Linked DNA regions of Lepisosteus oculatus. The protein of the gene in region 3 binds, or shares a complex with, the protein of the main gene of each other region. Links are inferred from orthologs where the notes say so. Each region holds a gene or a part of one and is shown on either strand. Other genes may lie near its edges.

Evidence for each region.
Region 1: meaf6 (region 3) and brd1a share a complex: the UniProt entries of both Homo sapiens proteins name them as parts of the MOZ/MORF complex. The link is inferred for Lepisosteus oculatus from reciprocal best matches to the Homo sapiens genes MEAF6 and BRD1.
Region 2: meaf6 (region 3) and jade3 share a complex: the UniProt entries of both Homo sapiens proteins name them as parts of the HBO1 complex. The link is inferred for Lepisosteus oculatus from reciprocal best matches to the Homo sapiens genes MEAF6 and JADE3.
Region 4: meaf6 (region 3) and kat7b share a complex: the UniProt entries of both Homo sapiens proteins name them as parts of the HBO1 complex. The link is inferred for Lepisosteus oculatus from reciprocal best matches to the Homo sapiens genes MEAF6 and KAT7.

What each region holds. Positions count from the first base shown.
Region 1 is NC_090702.1:35,425,533-35,432,414, reverse strand, and holds the start of brd1a (bromodomain-containing protein 1), read right to left. Parts: upstream 3,021-6,882; 5' UTR 2,458-3,020; intron 1-2,457. UniProt on the Homo sapiens protein: Scaffold subunit of various histone acetyltransferase (HAT) complexes, such as the MOZ/MORF and HBO1 complexes, that acts as a regulator of hematopoiesis.
Region 2 is NC_090710.1:21,975,185-21,982,073, forward strand, and holds the start of jade3 (protein Jade-3), read right to left. Parts: upstream 3,001-6,889; 5' UTR 2,763-3,000; intron 2,735-2,762; exon of another isoform or gene 2,086-2,734; intron 1-2,085. Other genes in the region: rp2 (protein XRP2), read right to left, coding at 6,094-6,177, 6,469-6,554. UniProt on the Homo sapiens protein: Scaffold subunit of some HBO1 complexes, which have a histone H4 acetyltransferase activity.
Region 3 is NC_090706.1:12,445,093-12,452,794, reverse strand, and holds the start of meaf6 (chromatin modification-related protein MEAF6), read left to right. Parts: upstream 1-4,686; 5' UTR 4,687-4,761; coding exon 4,762-4,851; intron 4,852-5,818; coding exon 5,819-5,934; intron 5,935-6,026; coding exon 6,027-6,114; intron 6,115-6,296; coding exon 6,297-6,342; intron 6,343-6,643; coding exon 6,644-6,833; intron 6,834-7,702. Other genes in the region: uncharacterized protein, read left to right, coding at 1-913, 1,242-1,308, 1,569-1,687.
Region 4 is NC_090723.1:8,372,105-8,379,759, forward strand, and holds the start of kat7b (histone acetyltransferase KAT7), read left to right. Parts: upstream 1-4,638; 5' UTR 4,639-4,826; coding exon 4,827-4,841; intron 4,842-7,353; coding exon 7,354-7,501; intron 7,502-7,655. Other genes in the region: progranulin-like, read left to right, coding at 355-603, 1,645-1,791. UniProt on the Homo sapiens protein: Catalytic subunit of histone acetyltransferase HBO1 complexes, which specifically mediate acetylation of histone H3 at 'Lys-14' (H3K14ac), thereby regulating various processes, such as gene transcription, protein ubiquitination, immune regulation, stem cell pluripotent and self-renewal maintenance and embryonic development.

The DNA.
Region 1 (6,882 bases), on a different chromosome or scaffold from region 3:
AAAAACTTTATGACTTCAGATTAAAGAACTTGCTGCTTTTGTTATACAAAAACTAAAACTCAGGACCACCACTGAAAGAGCATTTATTTATCTGTGCTGTAAAGCAAATTCATGGCAAGAAAACTTGTTCTTAATACATCTACAAACGTAAGGCTTTAAATTTCTCTAATACCATAGCATGGAATATCACTGAACCCTCAGCAACATCTGTGGCACATGCACAACTGCAGGAGCATTACTACCAACTATTCTGTCCCTTCCATTACATCTTCCGGTTCTTGTCATGTTTGGCAGCCAGATATGTCACTTAAAAGACAAACCAACACACCCTTACATGCTACAACCTGTGCATCTATGCTGTTTTTCCCCTCTGGAAAATATTTGGCAAGATACACATTGCATAATACCTGACAGAAGAAAAAGTACTGACACTTCAAGGATTTATGCTTAAATGTATTAACTTCACTGAGTTTGCCTACATAGAATTATCTTATTTTGAGCAGTGTATTCTTGATCTGCTCTATGAATAGTTGAACTTTTTTAAAACAAAATCTTAAATTGTAACTGGTATAAGATCCAACTGAAACTGGAAGAGCGGATGTCTTAAAAAATATAATCTAAACAGGAAAACATAAAAATCTTTACATCAACTAAGCTTATATTTTAACAAGCTGCATGTAAGAGGGTCTCTCAGACCGTCTTTTTAATGGCAAAAATAATGAATGATTGTAGCATATTGTAACATTTAACTTAAATGGACAGAGATTATAAAGATCGTCCTATGGTTGCAACTAAAATACTGATAAAAAGAATTGTTGGAAATTGACTGACCTGGAAAAATGAAGAAAAAAACAACACTAAGCAATGTAAGTAAACCAATACTAAAATTTTCACGGACCATTGCTCCAGCTTGTTACTCCAATGTACCAACCGCAAATTACACTTAGTGTTTAAAATTACTTCTGTTTTCAAACCACAGTTTCACAAATTCAATTGTCACAAACTGTTCTTCTAATGATAACCCTGACTGAGGACATGTCTCAGAAATGATATTAGGTCGATATCTCCCTAAGGAGATATGACTTAGTCAAAACTGTCTGGAAATACAGTTAAAAGCAAATAGACGCAGAACACGGTCTTGCGCCAGACATTCTTTAAGCACTGTATATTCCAATGGTCTGCTGGTTTTAGATCACTTAATAAGATACCAGTTTCGTTATACTGAACTCATTTGATCTATCGATTAATCTAAAACCTGGACCCTTAATTATATACATCCAAACAACGTAAACTGCGTTCCAGCTGTAACATCCCCCAAGACTATGCTCTTGGTTTCAGTCTCGGTTGTTTTCTCTGATTATTTTCGTAGAAAACAAAACTTGCACTTAACTTTATCCGTTCCCTACTTTCACCAAACCAGCGTAAACAGGATCTATTGACGGAAGGAGAACTGAATTTCGTGAAAACCCTACGTCTGCAGAAGAGTGGGGCTGTTGCAGAGGGGTTAAAGGCTTTACTTCACACAATGCTAAGTCGGCAACCTTTCGAGGGACAGACATTTCCCCTAAAAATAAATCACAACTACATACGTCTACGGTGAAACCAACCTTCGAACCAAAGCATTTTACCTTCAAAACAAGACTACCATTCATTACAAATGAGTCAGGTTAAATAAATAGGACTTCAATCATCATTAAACGTACTTTTCGAAATTGCACACACAAGACTTTTTACTAAAATAAAACCACATTTTTAACGCTCTGTTATAAAAACCCCGGTAACGTGAAGAGCTGCCAGAAGTAATTCATTAGGATTTGCACCATTATGGAGAAACATTAATCGCATTTTGACACCTTTCAGACGTGCAATTTATACACCACATAAAAGACACACACACGCCATTTGTGTCGTCAAGACAACATCTTAAAAACAGAGTAAAAAAGTTTCTCAACACAACAGAAGCATACTTACAATGGGTGCAATTAGCTTACCGAACTTCCTTTGTTACCTAACTGCCAAAATCAGGAACTTGTATAAAAGAAATATTGTAGCACTGGAACACTGCCCGGGCCTGTGACGTCACTGCACCAAACACTTTCCCGGGCCTGTTTGAATCAATGGGAATTCAACACCCTGGAGTTAACTATTTTAATCCGACTCCGCTAGGACCTCACCCGCAACGAACCACATACGCTGGCTTTGACTGGGTGTGCAGTTTGAGGCTATTGTTGAAACCAAGACGCTCCAGCGGAGCCTCCCAGCGGCCTGGGGTGCTGGGACAGTCCACAATAATAAAACTAGAAAACGCAAATATGGCGTCCAACAAAACAAGAAACCGAAGTACTCGCACGAAAAGTTCGTTTTTGGCCACACGCAAACCGATCCTCATCCTTCCAGGGTGGATTTCACCTCCGCGAAAGACGGATTTCTACGCGTAACAATGTAAGACGCCCATACCTCGCTGGTCCGAAGGTTTTGTTATCCAGACAGCGGCGGAGCTGAAAGCAATGGCGATGTGGCCTGCGGAGCGGCTGTGATTCCGCACAATCACATCCAACGGCCGCCGCTCGAGCACAGATTCCAGCTCTTAGTTTGAAGAATACGGACTGGGCTCCGCGACAACTGTCCGGAATTGGAACGTAGTTCTGTCCTCAGCGCGCCGTTCTTACTAAAAAGGACCATTCGTGAAGCGAAGTGTCCGCTTTCTAATATCGAACAGCAGCTGCCCCGAGCCTCTCTCCTCAACAACAATGCGGTTCCAGTGGAGGGCCCACCCGCCACGCACGACGCAGTCACGCCTCTCAAGACTGTACGTCTGTGTGGGGTCAGGAAGTTGCTTTGTGTATCTCCGATGCGAAAAGACGCTGGAGTAGTAGTGGTAGTATGAGTAATATCGGAAACACCAAGTACTAATATATCCTGCTCTCTAAAAACGAAAACGCTTGGTTAATTTAATAACGCATTTGTATCTGTCGCTGGTAGAGTCGTGCACTCTTGTTTTCAGCGTTGTATATAAAACCACAAACTAAGTGAAAGAAAATTTGGAGAAGTCTGTATTACATATTAATCAGATGTTCGTTTTTTTTCCGTCTTCATGCATTCTATAAAAAATAAATCTCACCAGAATGCAGTACTTGAAGCGTAATACCGAAGTGGGCTAGAACTGACCAATGTATTTATATGCTTTAACAGTAATAGCAGGCATTTCATTTCCATTGACTGACAATAGATATCCTTCTAGCTCTTTTGACCTGGTAAGTTACACCAGTCTTTATGATGTTTACAACATCTAATTTAAAGTATTCAGATGTGATATTTCACATAGTTGCAGTAAGACTCCTACATGACAAAACCTAAAAACACGACAATTAAATGCAGATTCAAAGCTTTTCTTTGCCCCACCTAATGGCGCATCCCTACCCCTGGAAGTGACCCTCTAGGTCAAGAAACCCCGTGTAACAGGGCTGTGTTCTCATTTCGCCCGAGCTTTCCGCTTGTGGATCCTATATACTTGACGTCAAAGGTAACTACTAAACTACAGAAACAACCTATTCCAAACTTAACGGCACCGCTGCACAGCGGAAGACGACACGAAATGCAAATAAATGCAACTGCCGGTAGTTTTGCTCGAGAGCGATTAAAATGCCGGTCATTCTTGACCTCTGCGTTATCCTATTGGTTCACTGCCGCAGACAGTCTCTTGCAGGAACTTCTCAGCTCTGCGCAAAATCTGCACAGATTTCTCCGGGTGGAACTAAGTGACGTTACGCAGGAGTCCTCCTAGAACGCACGTCTCTGCTGGCTGCGCAAATCTGGCCTATAAAAACATGACCTCAGATTAGTGCCGAGTGAGACAGGAAAACAAAACATACTCAACTGTATCAATCTTAAGTTTATGTCGAATATAAATATCTGTTTCACTAGACATATGGGTGATAGCAAGTGGCCATTCGGCTAAAGGGCATAAGATCATTTTGAAACAAAAACGCAAAACGTAATATCAAAGAATGGGTAATTATACAGTTCAGACGCCGCGCATTCAGGAAAAGGGTTTGTTTTCCTTTTTTTACTACAACGGCGCCATTTTGGAAACCCTTCAACCCTATGACGTCATAAAAGCACGTTCCTTCCGTCCTACGCTGTAGAGCTGCTGCTGTTAACTGCAGGGGAGACAAAGCGACGAACTAATTGACTCTTCACTTCAATTAAACACTTTTTAATTTAACTATTTGGTTACCGAAACTGATTGTACTACATCTCAGGGCATCAAGGTAGGTACGTGCGTAGCGCTTTCGGCGGCTCTGCTCTGAAAGGCTGGCTTGCAGTGGAGATGTGTGAGGGTGTTGGGCTGATCCGGTTCTCCGGCTGGTTCTTCCAGTGTTCTGCTGCCAGGATCTGGTTCTGCCTCACCAGGTTGAGTTCCTGTTTGGCCTAACATGGCCGGGCCTGTACTGGGATAGGAAAGCAAGGAACCCCATCTGGTCGTCTCGTTTAGGAAATTGAAATGTCATACAGTGAAGTTTACTAGACTTTGGATTTCTTTTTCTTTTTTTGGATCACTGTCACAGCAAGGTAAATTTCAGTGCGTGTTTTCGCCAGTGTTTTTGTTGTTGTCTGTGGTGTGACGGAGGTAGGCCTTGTGTTCTTTTGTTCGGGTAACTGGTAGCTGACAGTATCAATGCATTGGGCAGAGCAGAAAAAATGATTCATGTCTTATTCAAAGGATGTTCCCTTTCGTATAAAGGTGAGCTGTGGTGAAGGTAACGACAATCGCGGATTAAAACAACCTTGATCCAGTCGTCTTTGCTTTTGTCTTGATAGATGCAGAATAGGTAGCATTTTTTTTCCAAGTCAAAATGATCCAGTTTACAGCATTATGGCAAAATGATGTCACTGTGCCCCTAAAAGAACATTAAACCGGAAAAGTTGAAAATCTTGACGTTTCTCACCTGGTTAAAACCTAAACGTTTCAGGTATTTTAAGAGCTTAGTAGCTACACGTGTAGAGGACTTTATGTAAAGTCCGCTGTATATGTACTTTGAGGGTTATTCTTTGCTTACTCGCACATTGTCCAGAGAAAAAAGAAACCTTTCTGTTGAAGTTCCGGGTGAAACCTTACAGTTCATGTTTTTTGCGTAGGTAGGCTATTCCGCGTTTTATTACAGACCCCAAAGATTGTGTACTGTACCTGTCCCCCTTTTTATCGCGTTGTACTTTCCACTCTCATTGCACTAGAGTATGTATGCGAGTTTGGTGCACTCGATCGGTATATGTAAGAGACCACGATCTAATACGATGCCGAAGCTGTTTATGCCTTTTTGTCTTTTGACAGGCAGTATTTTTAAAGCCTCGTTTTTTCATTAAAACGGTATTATAAGTCAGACCCTAAAATACGGAGTCGTGTGTCTGTTGACAATCAACGTGGAGTTGCTCATCTGTCAATTAATTATAGCAATACGAACGCCAATTACGCAAAATAAAATTAAATCGGAGCGTACAGTGAGATGCAAGGTTTTAATTGTCTCGTATGTTCAGTGCAAAATGAAAAATCGTGGTGGTATCACTAATAAAACGTATGGCTAGAAGTGCGGTTTAGTAAATGTGCATTAGCTACCCAGTAGATGTATTTTCTTATAAATCTAGTCTGCTTTTGTTTTCGTGTTATGTATGTGGCTTATCACAGTTAGAATATGATGTTTATATACTTGTTCAGTACTAAGTTATTCAGTAAATGCCTTGGAATACGATACTCTCCAATCACATGTAAGATGCTAAGACGAACTCGGTTGAAACTGGTGCTGTACATACAGTCCCTCCAGTGCTATACAGTGCTTATTACCATACTATACACAAGTGCAGAGCTATAAAAAGGAGAATCAATGTACAGGTCCTCAATTCATATCAGGTATTCATATCACAATGATTTAGAAGAGGTGCATCATGGTAGTTACGAAAGTATATTTTGTATATAGAGGAATGAGACAAAAAAACACTTTATTGTGAAGTTCTGTCAAAAATAGTCTGTTTTGTATATATTCATAAATCGTGAAGATTGAGTTATGACTTGTGGTCTCCTATCCCCTGACAGTAAAACCACTGGCAGTGTATTGCATTTGTTTCAGCCAGGCTGTAGACTGACTTTTCTTAGTCTGGTAATGGATCCCCTTTTGATAGATCAGTGAAAATGTGGACTGAAGAAAAGTTTACTTTTGTGTTCACATGGTGCACTGCTTCAGCAGGGAGCTAAAGTTGAGTTATTTCTACAGAGGGAATCTGTATTCATAGCTTATTACCCATTCACCCTGTCAAATGCTGTCCCTGTTTATATTAATTATATTTCTGTTGTGTTTCGGGATACTGTAGTGTTTGACGTCTTAATTAACAGTGTTAATTGAATGTTTGATAGTATTCCAAATTCATTTTAAACTAAAAACATTTTCTTAATCCTTGAGCTTCAAATATACATAATTCAAAGAGTAAAGAAATAACTGCAGATACTTTCAGCTAAACACTTTACTGAGTAGAAGTTGAAAAAATTTATATAGTACTTTACGAAGGTAATAGCACCATGTGGTGAATATGTCACAAAGTAGTTGAACTAGCCAAGAACCTTGTTTTAAGTTGTCAAAGGAACCTGATGATATAGAAATACAGTGTGTTGGTTAAAATAAAAAGGAATGTGCCATTCATACTGTGGTTATCATTGATGCACAACATAGTGTCATTACTTAATATTCTTATTTTTTTTACAGAATGCAATGTTTTTATAGAAGATCTGACAAAACATACCAGAGAGGGCGATGTTAATGTGGTGGAATATGTCATTTCACCATAGTGATATTTGTTTCAGAATGATTTGTAACTGTTAAAAGCATGAGGCTT
Region 2 (6,889 bases), on a different chromosome or scaffold from region 3:
AGATTTGAGAGGAATCAGTAACTACCCAGTTCAATTCCCAAGGCAAGAGCGACTTTAGAGAGCCACTACTTTAAAACTAGGAAGACGCTCCGTGTAAGAATCCTTCTTTTTTTGCCCACAATATTTATGAAGTCGCAACCCTGGACATAACATGATAGTTTTGTTTACCACCATGTCGCAGTGGACACGCGAGCCAAGAAAAAAAAATTAAAACGACCACGTTATTGTGAATAACAAGCCCCGATTCCTTGAGGGTTTTTCTAAATGGAGAATTGTTAAGTATTTCTGCGTTAGACCCACCAGAATTTGTGGGAATCGTGTGTATCGTAAGGTGTGCTAAGTTTTGGCTGACGGCTACAAACCATGCCACCGCACACGGGAAAAGAGGAAGTCCATGCAGGTTCCTCTGGCCCGCCCACCTTTGGCACCAACAGCGCGCCACTGACCGGAGGATCCTGCCCACTGCTGGCTCACGACATGACAATGCCTGAACCACCGAACCCAACTCGCGCTCAGCCGAACCGCTCAGAGGAGGCCCAGAGATTTTTGGAGTCCAGGTTGCAACATATTCCGAGAAGGAAAAAACAAACTGATCACCAAAAAGCAAATCATTGATATTTTCACTAAAAAGGGGGCGTTAAACAGTTATATCTGTGAGCTGTATCCAGAAACTTCAAAAAAGAACATATAACACAGTAAACCTCAACACTTAAGACGCTTGAGATGAAACTGTGACATATTAAGACTCGTTACCTAAATAGAAATTGGCCACGCTGTCTCAATTTAGTACACTTCGTCACATTTTTCTAGTGGTGCTTTTTTAACAGCAGCAGCCCAGTTACACCAGCCACCTTGAAGAACCGGTCCCTTATTGCAGCGCCGTGCCAGTGCAGGACATTTGCTGTAATTATCGTTGAAAGGACTCAAGCCTGGTTAAATCTAAATGTCAATTCTCCCAACAGTCAGTAATTAGAAGTCCAACACTGGATGGTGGAATGTAATTGGGTAAACAAGAATATTTTGACAGAAAGCTACTGTCATATATTGTTGATCTGCAAGGTGTGTGTGCGTCAGCTCAGCTTTGATTTAAACTTGTCCCATAACTGAAACCTAGTGTCTCCCCCTTTTCTTTTTCAATATAATGTTTTATACTTATCAATTATATTTCATCATATTTTCTATATCAATGCATACATATCTAAAGAGAACAAATTATGTAAAAGAGATTTATGACAAAAGGTAAATGCCTCCAAGACTGTGTTTGTGAATGTTGCACGTGAACTAAATGAAATCCTGTCTGTCTCCGTCTCCTATGGGTTCAAAACTAGGAACTGGTGCTGTACCCCTGTGCAGACTACCTCACTCAAGAGTGCTTCAGGAAAAAAGCACAGCTGTGAAAACAGGTAAAAATGTAAATCTCTCTAGATAAAAGCATCAGCCTAATTAATTAAATCCCACGTGGGAATGTAAGTCAATATCATAACTGTTGGCTTACATGAAGGTTTGTAGGCAGCGCACAGGAAGCCAAAGTTATTTTGCTTTCCAAAACAAACGGATGAAAGTTGTACAACTCTGGCTGAAACCTGACCCTTTTACTCGAGCAATCCTTCCTGGCTCAAGGACTCGACAGCACAACCCCACCAGAGATCTGCGCCCCATAAATGTCAAATCATGAGCCCAGAACGCTAACGACAATGCTGCAAGAGGGCCGGAAACTGATCCGAGAATTAAACACCATGCCTCGACAGTGCTTCAATTCACACCTCTCAGAAAACATGTGGCCTACGAGCAATGCAGCTTGATTGACATCAACTGTCATTACAAGTTACAGCACGACTTTTTGCTTCTCCGTAGATGACCTATGGAGGGGAAAAAAAATACATATATACCATCCAACACTTGCCCGGACACGTTCAGAGAATCACAACAGACCAAGAGCTTCGCACACCAAATTAGAGAAACCAGTTCGCAGGCGACACAGGGATGCTGGTCAGGGCGAATCGTGATAACCATGTCTCTGACAAAGGGTTAATGACACACAAAAAAACTTTTAGTGGTTTAGTGAGGAATCTAGCCAAAACATACCACAAGTGTGTCGGAAGGAACTCGTTTTGAGTTGGTGACCATTTGCGCTCCGCTGCTGCACAACCTATTTCTGTCCCCACAACGAGTTACCATCCCCGCTCATTATATATAGAGGCTAAATTTCGCTCGGCTTGTGTAACCTAAGTGCGGTGGCGGGTTTAAAGTGACCGCCTGCCAGTTCGGAACACGTAACAGCAAACCCTAAGCAACAAAAAAAAAAAAAGGAAATGAAAGAAGGAGTCGGTGTCCTGGCCCACCCATTTACAAAACGCTTCGTTTTCTCCCCGGCAATCGAGTGGCCTTGGCGCCAAACGGCAGTCTCGCTGCATGCTCGGGAGTACGACACACAACCGAGCGAAAAGCAAACAAGGGCGCCACCACCGCCGCACCAGAGAAATCGGCACTTCCTCAAGCACACTCCACAACATCACCGTCTACCGATCTCGCAGCCCCCTCGGATCCAAAGCGGGACATCCGCCGGGCTCACCCGGCGCCGTCCTATCGCTCGCCTGCTGGGCGCCGCACTCCACATTTCCCGAAGGACAAGAGCGAAAGGCCATGCCGACTGAGGGGAAAGCAGGCCCCTGCGTGCAGAAAGCTCAGCGGGGCCAGCCAGCCTTGGCACACACCGCACTGAGAAGACACGGGCAGCATTGTTCCTGCAGCGCGCTCCTTACCTTTTCCCTCCCGGCGTGAGCGATGGGGGCTTGGGGTCCGTCTTCCCCCCGTCGTACTGCCTTCTCCCTCAACACTGACCCGACCCAGGGCTCAATCGCGCTGTTTTCTCTCCTTTTTTTCCCCCCTTTCATTCCACTCTCTCCATTCCCAGCCCTGCAATCTCCCTTCCACTCAGCAGCACAACAGCTCTATTGTACTATCAGCACTACCGCTGGGTCTTAGACTCCGCCTTTTCTCTCCCCGTTACCCTCCTGCTTGCCGTGCACTGCCGATCTCTTTTAAATCAACTTTATTTAAAGTCCTGTTGCCGAATACGACTCTTTCCATCGCAAAATCTTTTTTTTTTTGTTCACATGATTTAAGTTACTAGTAACATTTTTTTTTACAAAAAGATTATTGTCGACTACTTGTCTGCCTCTCTTTAAGAGTTGTCCCTATTTTATCATGTGTACGTCAATTAGTGTAAATATAACCACCACAAAAGACAAAAAAAAGTCCAACAATTTTATATTTTCCAACTATAATGGCACAGAAAAGTGTAAAACCTTTGTGAAGATTCTCGTATCTGTTCTTCTGGTAAAGCAGTGTGAATGCAAAGTTTATTTCTGGTCAGAACATACAACTGTTCACCCCAAAGTCACTGCCTGAAGAGATTTTTGGAATTCAGACACTACCTAGAAACATGACGTTCCCAAATAAATCATGACGTATCCACAAAGAACATCATATAAAATTGTATTAGTCAATTCCAAACAAGTTAAGTGGTTAATCTGAGATTTTTCTGATTTACATCAGTAGTTTGAAGTAAAGTCCCCGAATATTGCATCTGGGTGGGGCCTCTTACAGAAATGACTGAAATTACCTCTAAGCATCTAACACGAATGTAATAGGCAAAGGAGTTTAGGTCAGAGCATTGATCAAAGATAACCCAGATGGCATGAACTTTGAATGCAAGCAGAATAGACACCTCTACTGTGAAGACCACGATGCACCATCACAGGATCAAGGTTGCAGAGTGGTATTAATGTTGGAGTCCTTGAACCCCTATATATTAGCATCTGATAGATGGTTACCTGATGTCACGGCTCACAAGACTGTCATCGGAGAGTAAAGTTTACTACATAACAGCCAGCTCTTCAGCACGGATTGAGAAGTCTTATCTAGTTATTACAGCTGAAACTGTAACTCGGGACCTCAAAATTCCAACTGAATCACCCATCTTCTCCACCCTCCAAAGATCTTTTGGTATCGCAGTCTCAAATGGCAAGATTACAGCCACAGCATCTTCCGAGACGATAAGGGAGCTGCTATCCACAGTCAATAATGTTCCTACTTGCTGGTCTTCAGGCACGAAGCCAGTTATGTGGAAAAGTGGTTTGACATTAGCATGTTGTGCTGCTGCTGCAAGCTGTCCACTTACATGACCAGAGCTGCGCAGGCCATCATGTTCAAGAGCATGGACTGAACTCTGCACACTAGCATTTCTGTTTGTCCCCGACATCTCCCGTCTGCAATGCAGGTCTACAAGAGCATCTTAAAATTCCATGATGTTCACTTGATGAACATCACTTGCTGTTGAAAGACTGGTCAGGTCAGAGGAGCTCTGGCCTGGTCATTAGTGTACTCCCGCGCTGAAGGACGAGTGAGTTACACAACTGGCAATAAAAAAAGATGTTCAAATCAGGAACTAAAGATGATGAAGTTCCCCACCCCTCTTAATTTGCTGAAATACATTTTCTTTTACCAGTAACTGTGAGAAGTGGAGGAACAACCACATTTAGCAACATACAGGGAGAATTTAAAAGAGGACATTTAAGATGGGCAGCACATTTCTGGCCCATGGAAAGAAACCAAAACACTTGGGGAAAACCCACATGGACACAAGGGAAACGTACATATGCAGACACTTTACAGAAGGTACCCCAGTCCAAACTTGCACTCAGGACCCCAAAAGCTCAGACGGCAGTGCTAATCACCATGGCACCCCTTCTTGACATAGTGAACTATCTAGATTCTTTCATTTGTGCACATTCTAATATCGCTGATCTTCGAGAATCCCTCCCCGCAAAATTAATACTGGAATCTTAAACACATTCTGCCACAACGTGAACATAACAGATCAGGAAGGTGTGTTGTTATAATCACATTTGACATTTAATACTATAAAATTATGTATACAAATATGTAACATTTAGTTGTACAAAAACTTTTTTTTTTAATTAAGTTTACAGCTCTACCTGGTCACAAAAATGAGCCACACACTTTTCATATATTTTTTTTTAAAAAGAAAACTTTTAGCCCTTTCAGTCGAATAATAATTTTCCTTTCAAAACTGCCGAGTACATCACTATGATACAGAAAAGGTCACTAAAACAGCATTTCAAACTTAATAGGCTTTTGCGAGATGGATGCAAGACATTCATTTAAATATAAATTAAATATTTTACATGTTAGTGTAATGTACATTCTGTACTTGTATTCGTGAAAAAGTACTAACCAGTGATATTAAAAAATTAAGACATTGGAAAAAAATATGTACTGGAAAACATGATTATGACAAAAAAGCATCCTTCTCACACTGTATTCACTTGAGATCTGACAAAAAACCTGTTACAGGCATCACAATCTTCCCCCTTTTTAAGGGGAATTTAAGATGAAATCATTAATAACCAGCAGTATCTCACAGATAAAATGTTGAAGCTTAAAATAAAATCCAGGTTTTTCACAAAAATATTTACACAAACATAACTATACAAATGTTGTATGAAATCCAAAAGCCAAAAAGTACTGTGGATGATTAGACGAAAATTGTCTTTTCTCAAAAATATGCAACTACCAGTGCACTAAACATGTCATTTGCAAAACACATTTCAACAATAATAAATAATTTGAGTAAGCAAATTTTAAAAAGCGATAAATTGTGTTGTCACCAATACATTTCTATCCACAATGTAGCAATTTACATACATTTTGTTTGAATTTACCTTAATTACTGTATCCACGTGAAGAATTTTGTTCATTTTGAGATACGTCCCTAATTTGGTCCAACAATTACAAGTATAAAATAGAAAGGGCTAGACAAAACAGACATGTCAATATTACTGCACATACAGATGTCAATAATAGAATGTTAACTCTTTAAGAAGAGCTAATGTTAATCTACATTGTTATAATATGTGCGGCTTTGGTTATTTCCGAATAAAAATCTGTCACCAACCTAGAAAATTTTACATGGTCGCAGACTGATTAAAACCACAATACTGCCAGTTTTAGAAAAGGTGATACTTTAAAAAAAAAAATACACCCGAGGCCTGCAATGATTCGCAGTCTTCACATTCCCATCTGCATGTCTGCAAAGTTGAAGAAATTGTCTACATCTCTTGAAGACGAGTTCTTGCTTTCAGAAACGAACACCTAGGGGAGTAGACAGCAACAATATGATGACCTAACAGTCACCCTCATCTCAGACAACACACCCACACCCTTAGATAGCAAGTGGATTGATGTTTCCCAGAAACGGTAGGAGTGCTATAAATATTTCTTCCAGATCCCAAACTGCACAACTTACAGATTTGTGCTATAAAAATGTACAATGTTTTTAATGTACAGTGAGTTTTTCACACAACAAATTAATATTTCATATTTGCCCAGGCAATATCTACTAGCTAACTATTTGGTAGCTGTTACCACACAGTGCTGACTTACCTTGGTGCCACTGAAGACTTCATTTGCAACCTGGCGACATGCCTCCACAACGCCTTCTCCATTGAACTCCAGCGCCACCACCGGGCCTGTTCCGGAGCAAAACGAGATCAAGGGACGCAAAGGACACTCTTCACACAGAACAACACAGATGCTTGTACGCCACCCTAAATTCAGGTTTGACATTTGAAGCAGTTTTCTACCCTCTTTATCATTCAAGGCAATGATTAAAAAAAAAAGTCACTTTTCCTAAAATTGCTTTAACACCTCTCAAAGGCCTCAATTCTTCTTTAAATGCATAAGAAAAGTAAAAAAGAGAGAAGGCCTTTTGGCCCATCTAGCCTGTTTGGAAGGCAGTAATTACTGCTACTTATGCAAGAATCTCATGCAGGTGTTTCTTGGAAGAAGCCAGGATATTGGTTTT
Region 3 (7,702 bases):
ACAAAATAAGTCTGTGATTGCCCACCAGAAGTCTTCTACCAATATGAGCACAAAACACCCTACTGATCCTCCTTCCATATCCTTGCCCTTAGGTTTAGTAGAGGAAGTAGTATCGTGCCTTTTGCTGAAAATAGATCCTGAGTTTTCAAATTCACTGGATCCCTCTTCCAAGCCAGATGGGCTGCCAAGGCTTCAGTTTAGCCAGATGGGCTTGCATATGATTTACCAAACTTTGGCTGCACAGATGAATGCCCCTGGGGTGTCTGTAGTCCAAGAGGAGGGACACAACACCACCTTTCCACCACCTGACAAGATTAAAAATGCTGTGAGCTGCATTTACAGAGAACTTGTCCAGAGAATGGGCTCAAAGTTTGACCTTCAGTTAGCAGTGGCTTCCCAAAGCCCGGCTGTGTTCAAAATGATGATAGCACATGTGACCCGCGAAGTCTTAAAAATGCTGGTTTCAGGGAGCGAATGTTCCAGTCCGTGTATCCTTTCCTCGGGGCCTGCTGGCACTTTTGACCTGGACCCAAAGGAATCTGAGATGAGCTGTGACAGAGGCACAGAAGAACTACCTTCTGAAAAAAGCTGCTGCACAGCTGTGAAGGAGGCTGTAGAAATACATGAAAGCTGTCTGCAACCTACCAGCCGTAGTGAACTTTCTAAATCAGACACCTTTTCCTCCACAAACCTGAAGAGTCACTCTGGCCAGAAAGCCTCCTGTCAAGTGGGTTCTGCAGCTGTCGATGTTGCCCTGGATTCAGTAGCCTTTCACAGTGCAGCTCCAGGCTCCGTCCCAGCTCTAAAGGAGAACAGCTCAGGCTATGCCATGGCTGCTGAACCACTGTCGTTCCGGGAGAGAGCAAGAGATGAAAAGAGAAAGCCTGGAAAAATGAAGGAGGAGGCCAAAAAGGTAAGCACAGTCATTGTTTTTCTTTGCCCTTGTGCACAAGCCATCCTTCGGATACAATAGGCTGTTCCTCAGAAAGTTTATGATGATCTGAACTTTAAAAAGGACTATAACATTTTGTTGGCAGCATGTGGAGAAGCTGCAGACACAGTATAAAAAAGTTTTTGAAGTTTTACATTTCTCTACTTAACTACCCAAATGGCACACCCCAGTAACTGATGCATAGCCCCGTAGTATTGAGGACTTTTGGGTAGGAACTTAATACAAAGAGCTTTTCCTGGTATTGCTTGTGTTGGAATAATCTAACCTCATGTTCTTTGTCTATACACAGGCCAGCCAGAAATCTCTGAGCCTTGATAAAGGAACACAATATAGTGAGGCTGAGGGCCACCAAGCAGGTGAGTCCCCCAGAAATGATAGCATGTTCCACCCGGTCATTTACAGATAAATGGAGATTGCTCATCATTCTATGGAATGTTCTCTTTTTGTTTAAAAATCGATGTTGTTATTGTGGAACTTAACAACACTATAACAACTGAATGAGTGAACTGATGTTTTTAAAGTGCATTAATGATTTTTTTATTTTCAGCATAAACACTCAAGCTTTCTATTGAGCAAAATGTTAATATGGAAGAAATGTTCTGCTCTCTCTTTTCAGATTCTCCATCTCCTGCAGTGGAAACTAAAAAGTCCAAGAAGAAACGTAAAAACGTCTTTAAATTATTCTCACAGGCAATGAGGAAACTGGTTTGTGTGAAGCCAGTGTTGGATGATTGATCTTCACAAGAAGTCGTATTTTAATATATACAATATTTTAGCATTTTTAGGAAACAAAATCCATTTTTAAAATTTAAAGTCACGGAATGAAAGAATGGGTGTGAGGCAGCAGGAGTCAATGGCCCAACGTCATCAGCATGACCAGAGTCATTAAGGACAATCTTTCAACCAGATGTTTGAAGCAGCTTACAATGATCCGTACATGGTGTATACTGTGTTGGGTAGGCAGTAATATATATTGTAATTGGTACGTAATAAAAAGGGATTTATGAAGTATGACTGTCTTGTGTGGTTTGTTGGTGCAGTCTTGGTTCTGGGAGATATATATCTATCCTTTTGCAAGAGAAAAGGGTCCTAACATCCTTTAAAATTGTTAGAAGGCGTAGTTGGCTATAAAAGCAATCAAGGTTTCTGCATTGAAGGTTCACCATGTGTGACACTAAAGCATGCCTTTGTATTGCGGTAGGAAACTCATGTGAACACAGAGAGAACATGAGTAAAAGCCAGGCAGATAGCAGCCCAGGTGTGGGACAATTTGAAACATAAAGAAAATGGTTCTCTCACCACTGATCGCAGTTATATTAATGAGCAATTTTAACACAGGATTACTTACCTGTTATGTCGACATGCAGTGTTGGTTCATGTGACACTGTCGTGGTAATATGGGGATACCGGGGTCTGGCACAAAGTGGGTCTTGATGGCTCACTCCCTCCCGGGTTCTCTGCACGACAAGACAGAAGTGCTCGTGGGTGAGAGAGAGGTCTTAGCCTGCGTTTGGGCACATGAAAGGTGGGACATGTACCTGGCCATACATGCAGACAGACCACCAGGCACTTACAACACTGCTCTCTACAACAGGCACTGGCCACCCTAAGCCACAGCCTCTCTTCAGGAACTTCAGCAGACCTCAGGACAGGACCCAGTTCTTTCCCAGCTCCACACTTCCATATACTCGGAGTGGCCCTCCAAGGTCTCCACTGACCTGAGCCCCTTCCATCATGTTAAAGATGAGCTCTCCTGCTGGAATGAGTCATGTGTCATTTGGGGCACCTGTGCTGTTATTCCTGCCTGCCTTTAGGTGCGAGTGTTGCAGATGGCACACGAGGGCCACTTGGGAATAGTCAAAGTCAAACAGCAGTGTCTGGATCTGGTTTTGTGGCCAGGAAATGACAGAGACATCGAAACACTTGTCAGGTACTGTGAAGCCTTCCTCCTGGGACAGTAGGAAGTAGGAAAACAGAGAGCCCCGCACCACATCCTCTCCAGCCCCCAGACTGGCCATCCGAGCCCTGGGATCTTCTCCAGCTGGACATCTGTGGGGAGCTGCATGGTGTCTTTCCCCATCACAGTTTCTTCATCATGGTTTCTAATTTGCTCTTGAAATGACTGGAAGTGGCCTCCACTAGATCGGTCACCACTCAGGCAGTCATTGACTTCCTGGATTCCCCCTCTGCCCACTCTGGTTTTCCAACCAACATCACCAACGACAATGGGCCGCCATTTGTGTCCACTGAGTTTGGCTGACCAGGACATACGACACACTCGTAAGGGCCTTATACAACCCAACGGCAATCAGTGGGGTGAACGACTGAATCAGACAGTCAAAAATGGCATCAGGGCCCAACTAGCACAGGCCTGCTCCTTCCCAACTGTGTTCCTCCGCACCCTGCTCCACTATTGGACTACGGCCACAGAACTGGCCATTATACAATATAAGAAGCCCAAAGTCTCTGAAAAAAAAGTGCTTAAATGAGCAAATTTTCACTGTCTAAGACGTGTGGGAATGCTAACCCTAACCCTAGCTGGGGTTTCAACAAAGCAATCCTGCAATTTGTTCTTAAAGCCCTTCAGTCATCAGATTTGAAAATGTTTCCCAAACCAAAAAATATGAGTCTTAACCAAACCAAACCACTGAAAAAGGCCATTGGAGACTTGTATTCTTCAATAATGTGTCTTCTTTAGGTACATTTTCAATCTGTGGAATGGATGGTTTTGATACAAGCATGCGTTTCAGGTCAGTTTAGGGGTTGGTTTACAAGAGCTATTAAGTGTTGACCCAATTTTTACATCTACTGTATACAGAAAATTCAAGGTACTTAACCCTCACGAACATTTTGATCTTACTGTTTTATCTTTTATGTGTATTCCTATCTTACTTCCCAAACTTTTTTTTTACGATTCTCAAATAACAAGTTTCGTAATATATGCCAAAACTACCTAAAAAGCAAAAATTTAATAAATAATGCATTTGCCATTAGAAAATCTTGGTATCTTTACACTTGAAACATAGATTTCCAGAATTCCAGCATGATAAAGGTATTTTTACTGGGTGGGTAGTCTTTGACTGAGCAATGTAGCATTATAGGAATAAGTAAAAAAAGAGTATAAATGCACTCACAGGTGAAAGTTTCTGCTCTTCCCAAGTGTGAAACTTACCTGTGACATTGAGTCTTAAATACAACATTGAGAAGAACTATTGAGACTTGACGTCTGATTGTATATGTATTTATTTCTTAGCAGTCATCCAGATTGAGATACTACATATGAGATTTACATTAGGTAAGGAGAAGGAACAATCACGTATTCTCAAGAAGAATAAATGTAAATGAATTTTAGGCTATTTTTAATCTGCAAGAACAATCTATGAATAGTTTCAGACAAAATGAAATACTGTATAAAGAGTATACAAAGCAGTCATGAAAAGAACCTGACGTGAATAAAGACCATAAAGGAAATCACGCTTTCAGCTGAGAATTAAGAACAATGCGATTTGGATGAAAATGAATAAAGGGAAAGATGAAAAAACATTTTAGTCATTTTATTTTGTTAACTGTTTGTAATGATAATATTCTACCGTTTAGTGATAGTTTTTAATGTAAATATCTGCGGGTGCAGGAATAATGAATGGTTTTCTCTTAATCGAAGGTGTGACCATCAGCCAGATCTGACGTAGATACTCACGTGTTCGCAGGTGGAACGCCCCCTTGTGGTTAATTCGTCACAGCACAGGTAGTGTCGGGCGTTTTGCTGCCGTTACGCGCTTTGTTTCTCCTATCCGCTCCGAAAATCCAACATGGCGATGCACACCAAAGTAACTCCTCCGCAGATTCCAGATACACGCAGGGAGCTGTCGGAGCTGGTGAAGAGGAAACAGGAGCTCGCGGTAAATCCTTTTTTTTACATTACCGTCTTTTAAACCGTTTTTCGAGTCGCCATTGATCTGGGTAAATGTGTAATTTTGCTAGAGTGTTCTAAGCAAAACGTCATGTTTACAGGCGTATGTTGCTGCACTTGTATTGCGTTCGTTTGAGGAACGTACGTAACCGACCTTAGTGAATAGCAGCTCCGTCTTGTGCCAAAGAAGTGCCGGGTGTAGAGGCCGTGCACTCCGGTTAGCAGATTTAGGAAAATCCGTTTATTGTAAGGCTTAGAGGCCTTTTCTACACCGCTAATGTTAGTTCCTGGCGTGAAGGAAGGGGACTCAAGTCTCGGTTCTGTGCTTTGGATGTAGGCTTGTTTAAGAAATAATTAACGGCTTTCAGCAGATTAAACGATGACTTCAAGCATTCAATTTGGGAATTTAGTTGTTACGATACATAGTAAGGTGATGTTAGCATCGGATATAGCAGCTTTGCTTGGTGTGTGTGGTAATGAGGTCGGCATCATTTGATATCGCATCATCCTGACAATTTTAAGTATAACACGGCATTTACCTCAATGTAAACTAGTTACCTTGGTGCATAAATGAAATAGCACTTCATAGCGACTAATGCATCATGTCACAGACGAATGAACGACGAGGAATCTTGTTACATGAGAAATTCCAGATCTTTTTAGAATTATGCAACATTGAATGGCTCTCTAGTCGCGTTGTCAAACCCGATACCTTGGATTCTTTCAATAAACGACAGGATGAGGTCGGATCAACAGCCTGCTAACAATCAAACACGCTAGACGAGAGAGGAAACCCTTCTCCCGAGGAATGTTATCTTCTGCTTACACCCAACCCCAAATATAACGACATTGCGTGGATTTCAGTAGCCCTTAGCTTATATTGCCCCGCTGGAGGGTTGCTGTGGAATTGTAAGACGCACATTAGCTGGCGCTCATTTCCCGCCCCGATCCTGCAGGAGACGCTGGCGAACCTGGAGAGACAAATCTATGCGTTTGAAGGCAGCTACCTGGAAGACACTCAAATGTATGGCAACATCATAAGAGGATGGGATCGGTACCTAACCAACCAGAAGTAAGATCGGTTCAAGTCTTTCTTCCGATAGCGATTTTGTGCTAAGCTTGGCTTTGCGTCACTTTTTTAATACCTTTTAACCTCTGTTGCAGAAATTCCAACAGCAAAAATGACAGAAGGAACAGAAAGTTCAAAGAAGCAGAGCGGCTCTTTAGCAAATCATCTGTCACATCCGTCGCAGTAAGTTAAACGCTTGTATTTCATATGAAGTTAGCAAACTCGTCAGGTTTCTTTAAACGTAGATGGAACATACTTCATATATTGACGAGATGTTAAGCCTCTTGTGAAATAAAGTGATGGAATTTGTTTGAGTTCTTAACATTTCATGCTTTTAACGTTTGTTGTCCCTGTTTCTTTTCCAGGCGGTTAGTGCTCTAGGAGGAATACAGGACCAACTTATAGAAAAAAGTAGGCATTATATTTCTGTCCTTGTGCTCTTCACAGTCATCATTCCTATCTGTAAACACGACTCGGTAGACATCAAGGATATTTGTCATTTTCATTAACACAAAATGCACAGCTACAAGTTAGATAAGTCTAGATCGTTCCTATTTGATTTCTGTCAGACCAGCCAGCAGTAATTCTGTGAAGCTCTTTTCCGGGTTCCAGAGGAATTTGTCTTGCCCTGTAAATGTCATGGGAGCCCCTGTGGTGTGGTGATGTGCATTGCTGCTTCACAGTAAGGATTTCCTTAATTTTCTCCCATCAGGGGAGCCAGGCAGTGGAACGGAGAGTGACAATTCCCCGGATTTCCAGAACCAGGAGAACGAGCCCAGCCAGGAGGACACGGAGGATATGGATGGGCCCTTGCAGGGGATGAAGCCCCAGAAGGCTGCCTCGTCCTCTTCTGGCAGTCACCATGGCAACCACAAGAAGAGGAAAAACAAAAACCGGCACAGGTATCCACTTGTGATGTGTTAAAACTTTTGTTTCACTTAAGCTACAGTTAATGTGATCATTGTAATGGAGCTTTTGCACAGTGAGACCGGTTTCGCAAAGGTCATGCAGGGAGAGTGTGGAGAAAGAGCTAAAACTTTCTGTCAGAATTATTTAATTGTTTAGAAAGCGCAGACTTTAACTTTGTCACAGACATTTGGCAATAATTTGAGCATATTTATTTTTTACGTTTGAAAACGTAGTATTCAGTGTGTTCTATGAATGCTTCAAAACCAAAATTGCGAAGTCTTTTTTTCATGTAAATTTTATATGTTCTTAAAATTATTTGCAGCAAGACATGACCTTCACCCCTACTGTAAGCAGTCAGAGGATTAGTTGAATGTTGAATTACTTGCTGAAATAATTTGACGTATAAGTACTGGCAAAGGTTCTGAACAAAAACGCACATGGGTCAAAGTATTAGGAACCCCCAAACAATGCCATCCACCAGGCATTCAACTCTGCTGTGTGAACCCTGCTAACATTAAAATCTGCTTGAACAAGACATGGCATGTATTCTGATCTTGTCCGGTATCCCATTCTTCACCTGCTTTGCCTTCAGCCAGGATTGTCAGACTGAAGCGTGGGATTATAATGCACCAGCCCTTTTTACATCTGGGCATTGCCCTGGCCAGTGGGTATAGCCATGCATGTCCTGAGACCAAGTGCATACTCCTTTAACTAGGGGTTCATAATATTTTGGCCAGTGAATATGATAAATACATAGATGTACATTGTTGTTACAGTATACAGTTGAGGAGATGATTTAACAAATAAATTAACGACTTACTAGTGATCCTTAACTTAAATACCTTTTGTTTCTCTTATCCGA
Region 4 (7,655 bases), on a different chromosome or scaffold from region 3:
CCAGCTGCAAATGATCTGAAGTTTAGTGTAAAAGTTTTGATCACGTTGTTTTCTGGCCAAGAATGTGCAGGCTACCCGCTAGTGATATCCAGTAATGATATGGGGGGCTTCAGAATAGTGTTAACCATGTTACAGGTTCTGGACCACCACAAGAGGAGTTTAAATTGCCCGTCCCCTATAAATAATTAAGTCAATTTTGAAGGATAATTGACCACTTTGATACCAATGCAATTTAAAGTTTGTTTTTAATATTGCTTTAACGTGTTTGATTTTTGTGTTCACCTGTGGGTGGGCGTTTTGAGGGTCATGTTCGACTCATCCACTGACGACGTGCTGCGCTTTCTTTGGCTTCAGGGGGTGTGCTGCTCGGATCACGAGCACTGCTGCCCACAGGGCTACTCCTGCAACATCAAGGCCGGCACCTGCGAGAAGCGCCACGAGGGCGTCCCCTGGGTGTCCCGGAGCTTCCCCGCGGTCCTCGTGTCCCCCTCGGAGCAGCGCCCCAGGAGGGACGTGCAGTGCGATGAGGAGCATCGCTGCCCCGACTCGCAGACCTGCTGCAGGACCTCCTCCAGTTCCTGGGGCTGCTGCCCTTTCCCCAAGGTACCCTGACACTTCCAGTGCAGAGCGCATCTCGGGAGTTGCAGTATCCAAACATTTTCCGTGTCTCGCACTCCAGTGCAAATGCAAGGAGGAGAGGGGCAGGAAACTATAAATGTAAAGAAAATGACTTGCAGTTGTTTTCTGAAATACCCTTGTGTAAGAAAGTCACGGTGAGAACAATGTAGATATATATTCGTGCAAGGTGTTCATGTTCTTGTGCACATGTGCTTTCACTTTAGCACTTCAAAAACTTTAAAGTGCAGTTTTAGGCCTTAGTCTAAAAGGAGTGTCAATATGACATCTCACCATCGCAGTGGTACACCTTACTGGAATGTGGGTGCTTGTTGCTTACCAGCCAAACAGCTCTCCAGTTTACATGGTGCACCATGGAGCTAAATTTATGTGTGCATGGGGAAACCATGTGTCCCAGGGCTTGAGTCAAACCATCACCTCAGACTGGAGCAGTTCTTGTGCATTCTCTTCTAGCAGGCACTATTTGCAGTGCCCTCTGCTGCTTACCATTACTGTCCAAAGATGGGACCTTTTTCCTTAATTCCCCACGAATCAAACATAATTGCTCAGCAGTATTGCTTTCACTTATATAGCGCTTTTCTGGACACTCCACTCAAAGCGCTTTACAGGTTATGGGGATCCCCTCCACCAGCACCAGTGTGCAGCCCCACCTGGATGATGCGCCAGTACTCTCCCCAAACACCAGCTCTCAGTGGGGAGGAGAGCAGAGTGATGAAGCCAATTCATAGATGGGGATTATTAGGAGGCCATGATTGGTATGGGACATTTGGCCAGGACGCCGGGGTTACACCCCTACTCTTTTCGAGAAACACCCTGGGATTTTAATTGACCACAGAGAGTCAAGACCTCGGTTAAAATGCTGTACGCGTGGGGACGTCATGTCATCTTAATTTTTAATTCCCCGCACTCGGCCGATGAGTGAGGCTGCAGCAGTATGGTGGCACTGGGTGCGCTTGTGCTGTTCAGCTCTTCTGGGCTCCAGCTGACCGAGCGGTGGTGTCTCTGCAGGCCGTGTGCTGCGACGATCAGAAACACTGCTGCCCCTCTGGATACTCCTGCGATGGCGCTGGAGGGTCGTGTGTCCGGGATGGGCGTCTGACCTGGGATATGTTCTTCACGGAGAGGGAGAGAGCCTTAAACCACAACACTTTGTAAATCTCTTCTCGGCCTGCAGCACATATCCACACCCTCCATAATCGGCAACGTGTTAAGGAGGGAAGGGGAATGTACAATGAGACATAACTGACCTGTTATTTGTGACAAATACTGTTTATTTGGTAGGGGGTCTGCGATGAAGTGGAAACAGATTTAAAATGGGGGACATCAGCTGGAACCTGCTGAATGATTTTTTTTTTGGAATGTTTGTGCTTTGCAAGACTTGCTTTATTGTGCTCCACTAAAGGAGCTTCAAGCCTGTACCTTTTTGTGTTTAACGATGTGCTGTGACCTGAAAAGTGACGTTAGATTTCTGCAAAACTGACCACTTCATTAGATCAAGGGCCCTTGCCTGTGTGCTCTGCACTAACTGACATTTCAAAGCAACTAGATTCACCCCCACATCTTTGGAATAAAAGGATTCAGATTTCAAGAGAATTGATTTTAAGTGAAATTTAGTTTTAAAGAACGCGTTGTTAAACCCAGTTTTTCTATGCAGTGAGATAATAGCATAATGGAGGAGGATGATGTCGAACTCTTCTCGGGGCTTTACAAACCATTGGCAAGCGGAGTTTCTGCTGCTTGGCCAGGTGCCTGCAGGCTCGCGAAGACATCATGCTGCTTTTCCAATTGGCACTGCCTCTTGTTGGCTACTGTGGTGCCCCCTGCAGACGAGCATGAAATTGACACCCTGAAAAGACAAACCTGTTTTAAGAAACGTATGAAGGGCTAGATGGCGGTGATGAAGCAGCTGTTCTAGAAAAAGAAGCACACTTTTGTAGATGCTGACACAAGGTAGCAAAATCTAATTGTCTTCGGCCTTGCAATACTGTCTGGTACAGAAGAGGATTTTTACACTTATTTGACCCAAAGTGAATTGTAAACTGAGGAAAAACCAGGGAGAACTGTTCTCTAGGAATGTTTTACTGAAGCACTAACCACATTTCTCTCTGGAACTAGAAAATGTGAACTACAAAAAGCATTTGTTTTGTCCTTTTGTGCGGGTTTGGTTTTAATTGTACTCTATCCTTGCAAACAAGCCAGAGAATCACAACATCACAGTTCAATTATACAGTCCACTTATAAATCCCTTGATACTTGCAGTCTGCCTGTAAGCATAAAATCCGTACGATTTTGTAAATTTGCACTTTTTTTTTAGTTGAGTAGTGTGAAATTGAATTTATTAATGTTTTATCTTTGACTTCAAAAGGGGGCATTAAGGCTTCTTTTTTTGTGGCCTTCTGAACAAGAACTGATTTAGACCCCATTTATTATTGCTGTAAATCTCAATAAAACCTAAATGCAAAGAACCAGCTTTGTGCCAATGTGCTTTAGTTTTGCTTACGGTTTTAAAATATTGATCAAACATCCGTTACCATTAATGCAACAAGTGTAACTTCATAATAAAATTGGTGCTCTTTTTTTATTTAGTGCACTTTTACAAAAAGGTATGGAATTTTCATTCCAGTAGATAATTTGTATGACAAGAACATCTTGTTCATACCCATAAGCATAAGGGAGATGCTGTATTTCAAAGTGCATTTGGGATGTGTTTAAAAGATTGTGCTACATAAGAATTTACTTGCACCATCTTAATGGGACCTTGCTAGAACTACCACTGTTGCTCCTCATATGTCCAAACGTGGTTTTGTACATGCCGATTTCAGAACTGAATAGAAGGGTTCTGTCTTTGTAGACTTAAAACACCTGTGCTTTTTGTATGGGGAGATATGAAAGGAAAATCACTTCACGGTAACTAAAGAAAAGGCCAAACAGATTAAATAAGAAAAAGAAAACTCTTTCTTTGCAATTCTTTAACTTCAGCATCTTGTCCTGTGAACCACATATCTAACCAAGCATCATGTAGCTTTTCCATTAATCTTCATAACTAATACACACCACTGGATTCTCCCTTCAGACTATTTGCACTGGAGGCTTTGCCCTGCTATCTTGATTGAAAAGGGATTTTACTCTATTAAAGACAATTGTGTGTGTATATACAAATTAAAATAAATCATTTCTATAAGTCGTCTTGTTCGTTCTTTTGCTTTAATGACGATATTTGTAATTTTGCTTCAGATTTAAGGCCAAGAAAAAAAGACAGCACCTTCTATAGAAAAGCATGTGTAGTAAACAAAATGATGTATTGAAGATGAAAGTTATTCCTTAAGACATAGGTTTTGTTACACAAACAACACATTCACAACATTTTGGATAGGCAATACATGATCACACGTGTAGGTTTATAAGTATATTTAAGTCAAATATTTCCAGCTGATGCTTGAAGGAATTGAGAGTATTGATGGAGTATCTTAGCCTAAATAGATGATGGTACCTAATTTTTTGGACAAATGTAGAGCTATGAGTAGGTAATTCTGGGATCTGGACTTGTAAAGCATGTTTACCAAAATGTCATTTTCACTACACGACTTGGGTTTCTGGTGTTTTTACTCCTACTGCAAGTGTGCTATTTTTGTCACTTTAAAGACTTGGGAGTAACAACATCCATTTGTGGGTACAAAGGACACCCCTGGGACAGCAGTATTCAGTACCTATGTTTAAAAACAGACGTGTTTTCAATACAACATAATAGTTAACTTCAGGAACACAATCCCATTTATCATTTTTCCACGAATTTATATTCACTTAAGACTTAAAATTTTTTTCTGAGCCAAGAAGTAACCACCTGCCTGAACATACACCCCTATTCGTCTTACCTCTACCAAGATGGCCGCCTAATGTACTACGTCAAGGTCGCTCTAGCCTAAATATTCCTCTCGATGTTCCTTTCCGAGATTCCGAACAAACAAGACCTAATCACGTGAGTCCCCTCCCCTCGCCACAGTAGACCGGAAGTGCGGGTGGGGGGGGGAAGCTGTGGCCAGTGTGTGGCGCGAGTTCCTGCCAGTCTCTTCTGTGTACATATGAATTTTGGAAGTCGCGGCGCGTTTTCCATTAATACCTGCAACATTTATCGACCTTGAGATTCACTGCTGCCCTCGCAAAATCAACGCCGCACTACCGCCAAACGAAGTATGCCCCGCAGGAAGGTAAGAATGTATCTGTCTTTGAAGACGCCTGAATTGTTTTATTTTTAATGGTCATGGGCAAAAAGCCTTTTGCACAGCCCTCAGGACTGTCAGGGCTGTGTTAAAGATGGTTGCCTTGTTTTGGGGAATTTACGTGCAAATTGTATCCCGTTTCGTCTTCGCCGACGCTTACATTTAGGCATTTCCACCCAAAAAACAACTTGGGGATTCAAAATATTTTGAAGAAAATCGTAAAACACGCCTCCCGTCGGCTTCCATCTTGGCTTGCTCGGCTGGTCGCAGTTGGCGCCCCCGCGGCTGAGGAAACTACTAGAAGCCGAGGCTGCAGTCGGGGCCTGAGGATAAGAACGGAACCTCCGCCAGCTGTGTTAGGATTGGTGGATCTGCGGGCTGGGGGGCTTGTTCATTGGTGCTGGAGGCTGCCTGTCAAGGATTACTCCCGCCTTCGATCTCTCCTGATTGGTCGGTGTGTTTTGGAGCGCTGTAACTGGCTCCTTTTGCTAGGAAGAGCCTTTGTTATGGAGTAAGCGGGGTTCCGTTATTGTAGTAGGTGGTGGTTTGTTTTTTGCGGAAAGGATGCACAAGTTATGGAATTCGTGATTGGTGACCACTAAACGTTTGTTTTTTCTGTCCTGAGCGTTTTCTACCTCGTTTAACCCATCTATGCAAAAGGTGCACTCTGGGATCGGTGCGGGCGGAAGTGAGCAGCTCCCGGAGGCAGCGTGTTTCTTGTGCTCCCAGCAGCTGGTTGTTACAGTGTGGGGGGGGGGTTCTAGACGCCCACATCTATCCGGGTGGGGTTGTGTTGCTAAGGATACTGCTCTTCCGGCCAAACATTAGCTGAACAAGTTGTGCATTTCAGTAAGGAAAGGTAAAAACAGATTACAGTCGGTAAACATGACGTGAAGTCTCCCCTCTGTATTTGGGAGAATACTTCTTGTGTGAGTTGTGCGGACCTTTTGCAGCGTGAAATGATTCACTCTGAATTTGCGGACTCTGAACGCACTGGCACAACAAAGAAGGAAAACTTCCCTTTCTCCACCCGTTGGTAATTGCGGAACTTTATAAGTGCTTTTCCGCTGGGGCTTTCTGGACTCGATCCTTGTTCTCGGATTAGGGGAGTGTCTTTCTTGTGTACGCTATTGGCGAGTAAATCGCAGGCCATATTCGTTTACACGGTTACCGTGGTAACCGCTACCCACAATCCCATTGTGCTGAGTATTTCGGTTCACTCCATTAGTGACAATGTACTGTTGTTACTCTTTGAGACCAACCGGTCACAAATTCCAGTTGCACCACACGTACTTAATACAGGGCGATGTGTTAGTTTATTCCTAGGCAAGGCGAGATGGAACCTGTTTTCAATGCGGATGTCGCAGTGGGCTTGGCCAAGAATGTGGGAATAAAAATAAAATGGTTTAAATTAAATTGTATAGAACATACAGTAGACTCGCCACGCATATCTCTAGATCTCTTGGTTTGGCTGGGTTTGATCAACTATTTTGTTATAATTATTTCATCAAGTCAGTTGAGCGGCAACGGATATATAAATCGTTGCATATTTACATTCGCTCTGTTGCTCTGAATATAGATGTTCAGGAGCTACAACCATAAAATTCAGGCTTCTATCTCTTGTTTCTGGTCACTTATTAAAATTTAGTTCTGGGTTAACAGGGCAGCGGTAGTCCGACTATGACGAAAGAATGTGTTTAAATTATAGCTGCTGGAAAGATTTAGGCAATCTTGCAGAGGCTGACACCCAAAACATTGATCCGAATCGACCGAACCCAAGAGAAATTCGCCCTGTGCGCTCGGGTCTGAAGACACCGTGACATAAGGAGGCACTTCATGTTAAATGTTAAAGCAAAATTCTTTAAACGGGTTATTCTCTCACTATCGTGCATCCATTTTAAACAGGTGCTATGTTTTGTGCTACGGCAGTTGTACAGTAGGTAACACTAACCTCTGGACAAGAATTTCCAAACTAGTGCCCTAGTATGGTGACACTGAGAGACCGCAGTGTTGAAGGAGGTGACATGAGGATTTTGCTTTCCATTCAGATTAGAACACAAGAAATATAGCAAACAAGAGGTGGCCATTTGACCAAGCCAACCAGTGTAAATCGAGGCATCGAGGCAGCAGGTAGCCTGGCCCTGTCCATTACCCGAGAGAACTATTAACTGTGTGTGGAGAGAAGGGAGCGAGGAAGCAGAAAACCTGTGGGAAATAGAGGGCAGAGGACAGTATCTCAAGACGCTGTGAAAAACGATGTCATGTTAAAGTAAAGAGTGGGATTTGCATCGGAACAAGATAAATTGTTGCTATGTAACTGTTACTGTGTTGAAACTTAATGAGATGTGATCATATATACTGTTTTAAGTATGTATATTAATGTAAAGCTCTCTATTTTGTGATTCCCTGTATTTGTGAAAAGAAAATAAAGTTCTTAAAACTCAAAAATGGGAATGTGGTGGATATACCTGTATAGCTAACCATGCTTTTTTTGGTGTAGAGGAACGCAGGGAGCAGCTCTGATGGGACGGAGGACTCGGATTTCTCTGCCGACCTGGAGCACACGGACAGCTCGGAGAGCGACGTGAACTCGCGCAGGAACACGCGCCTGACCCGCGCCTCCGTGCGCCTCAGCCAGAGCTCACAAGGTACCGCCGGGCCCGGCTGCCTTTGAGGGGGAACCAATCGACCCGACAGAGCTCGCTCCAGGAAGGCACGGCGCGAATTGGGCTGTGCGCCGAACTGAAGGCACCCAAATTGCTAGGCAGGGTCCGATGGCTAGAGAATTGCCATTGGAGTTTC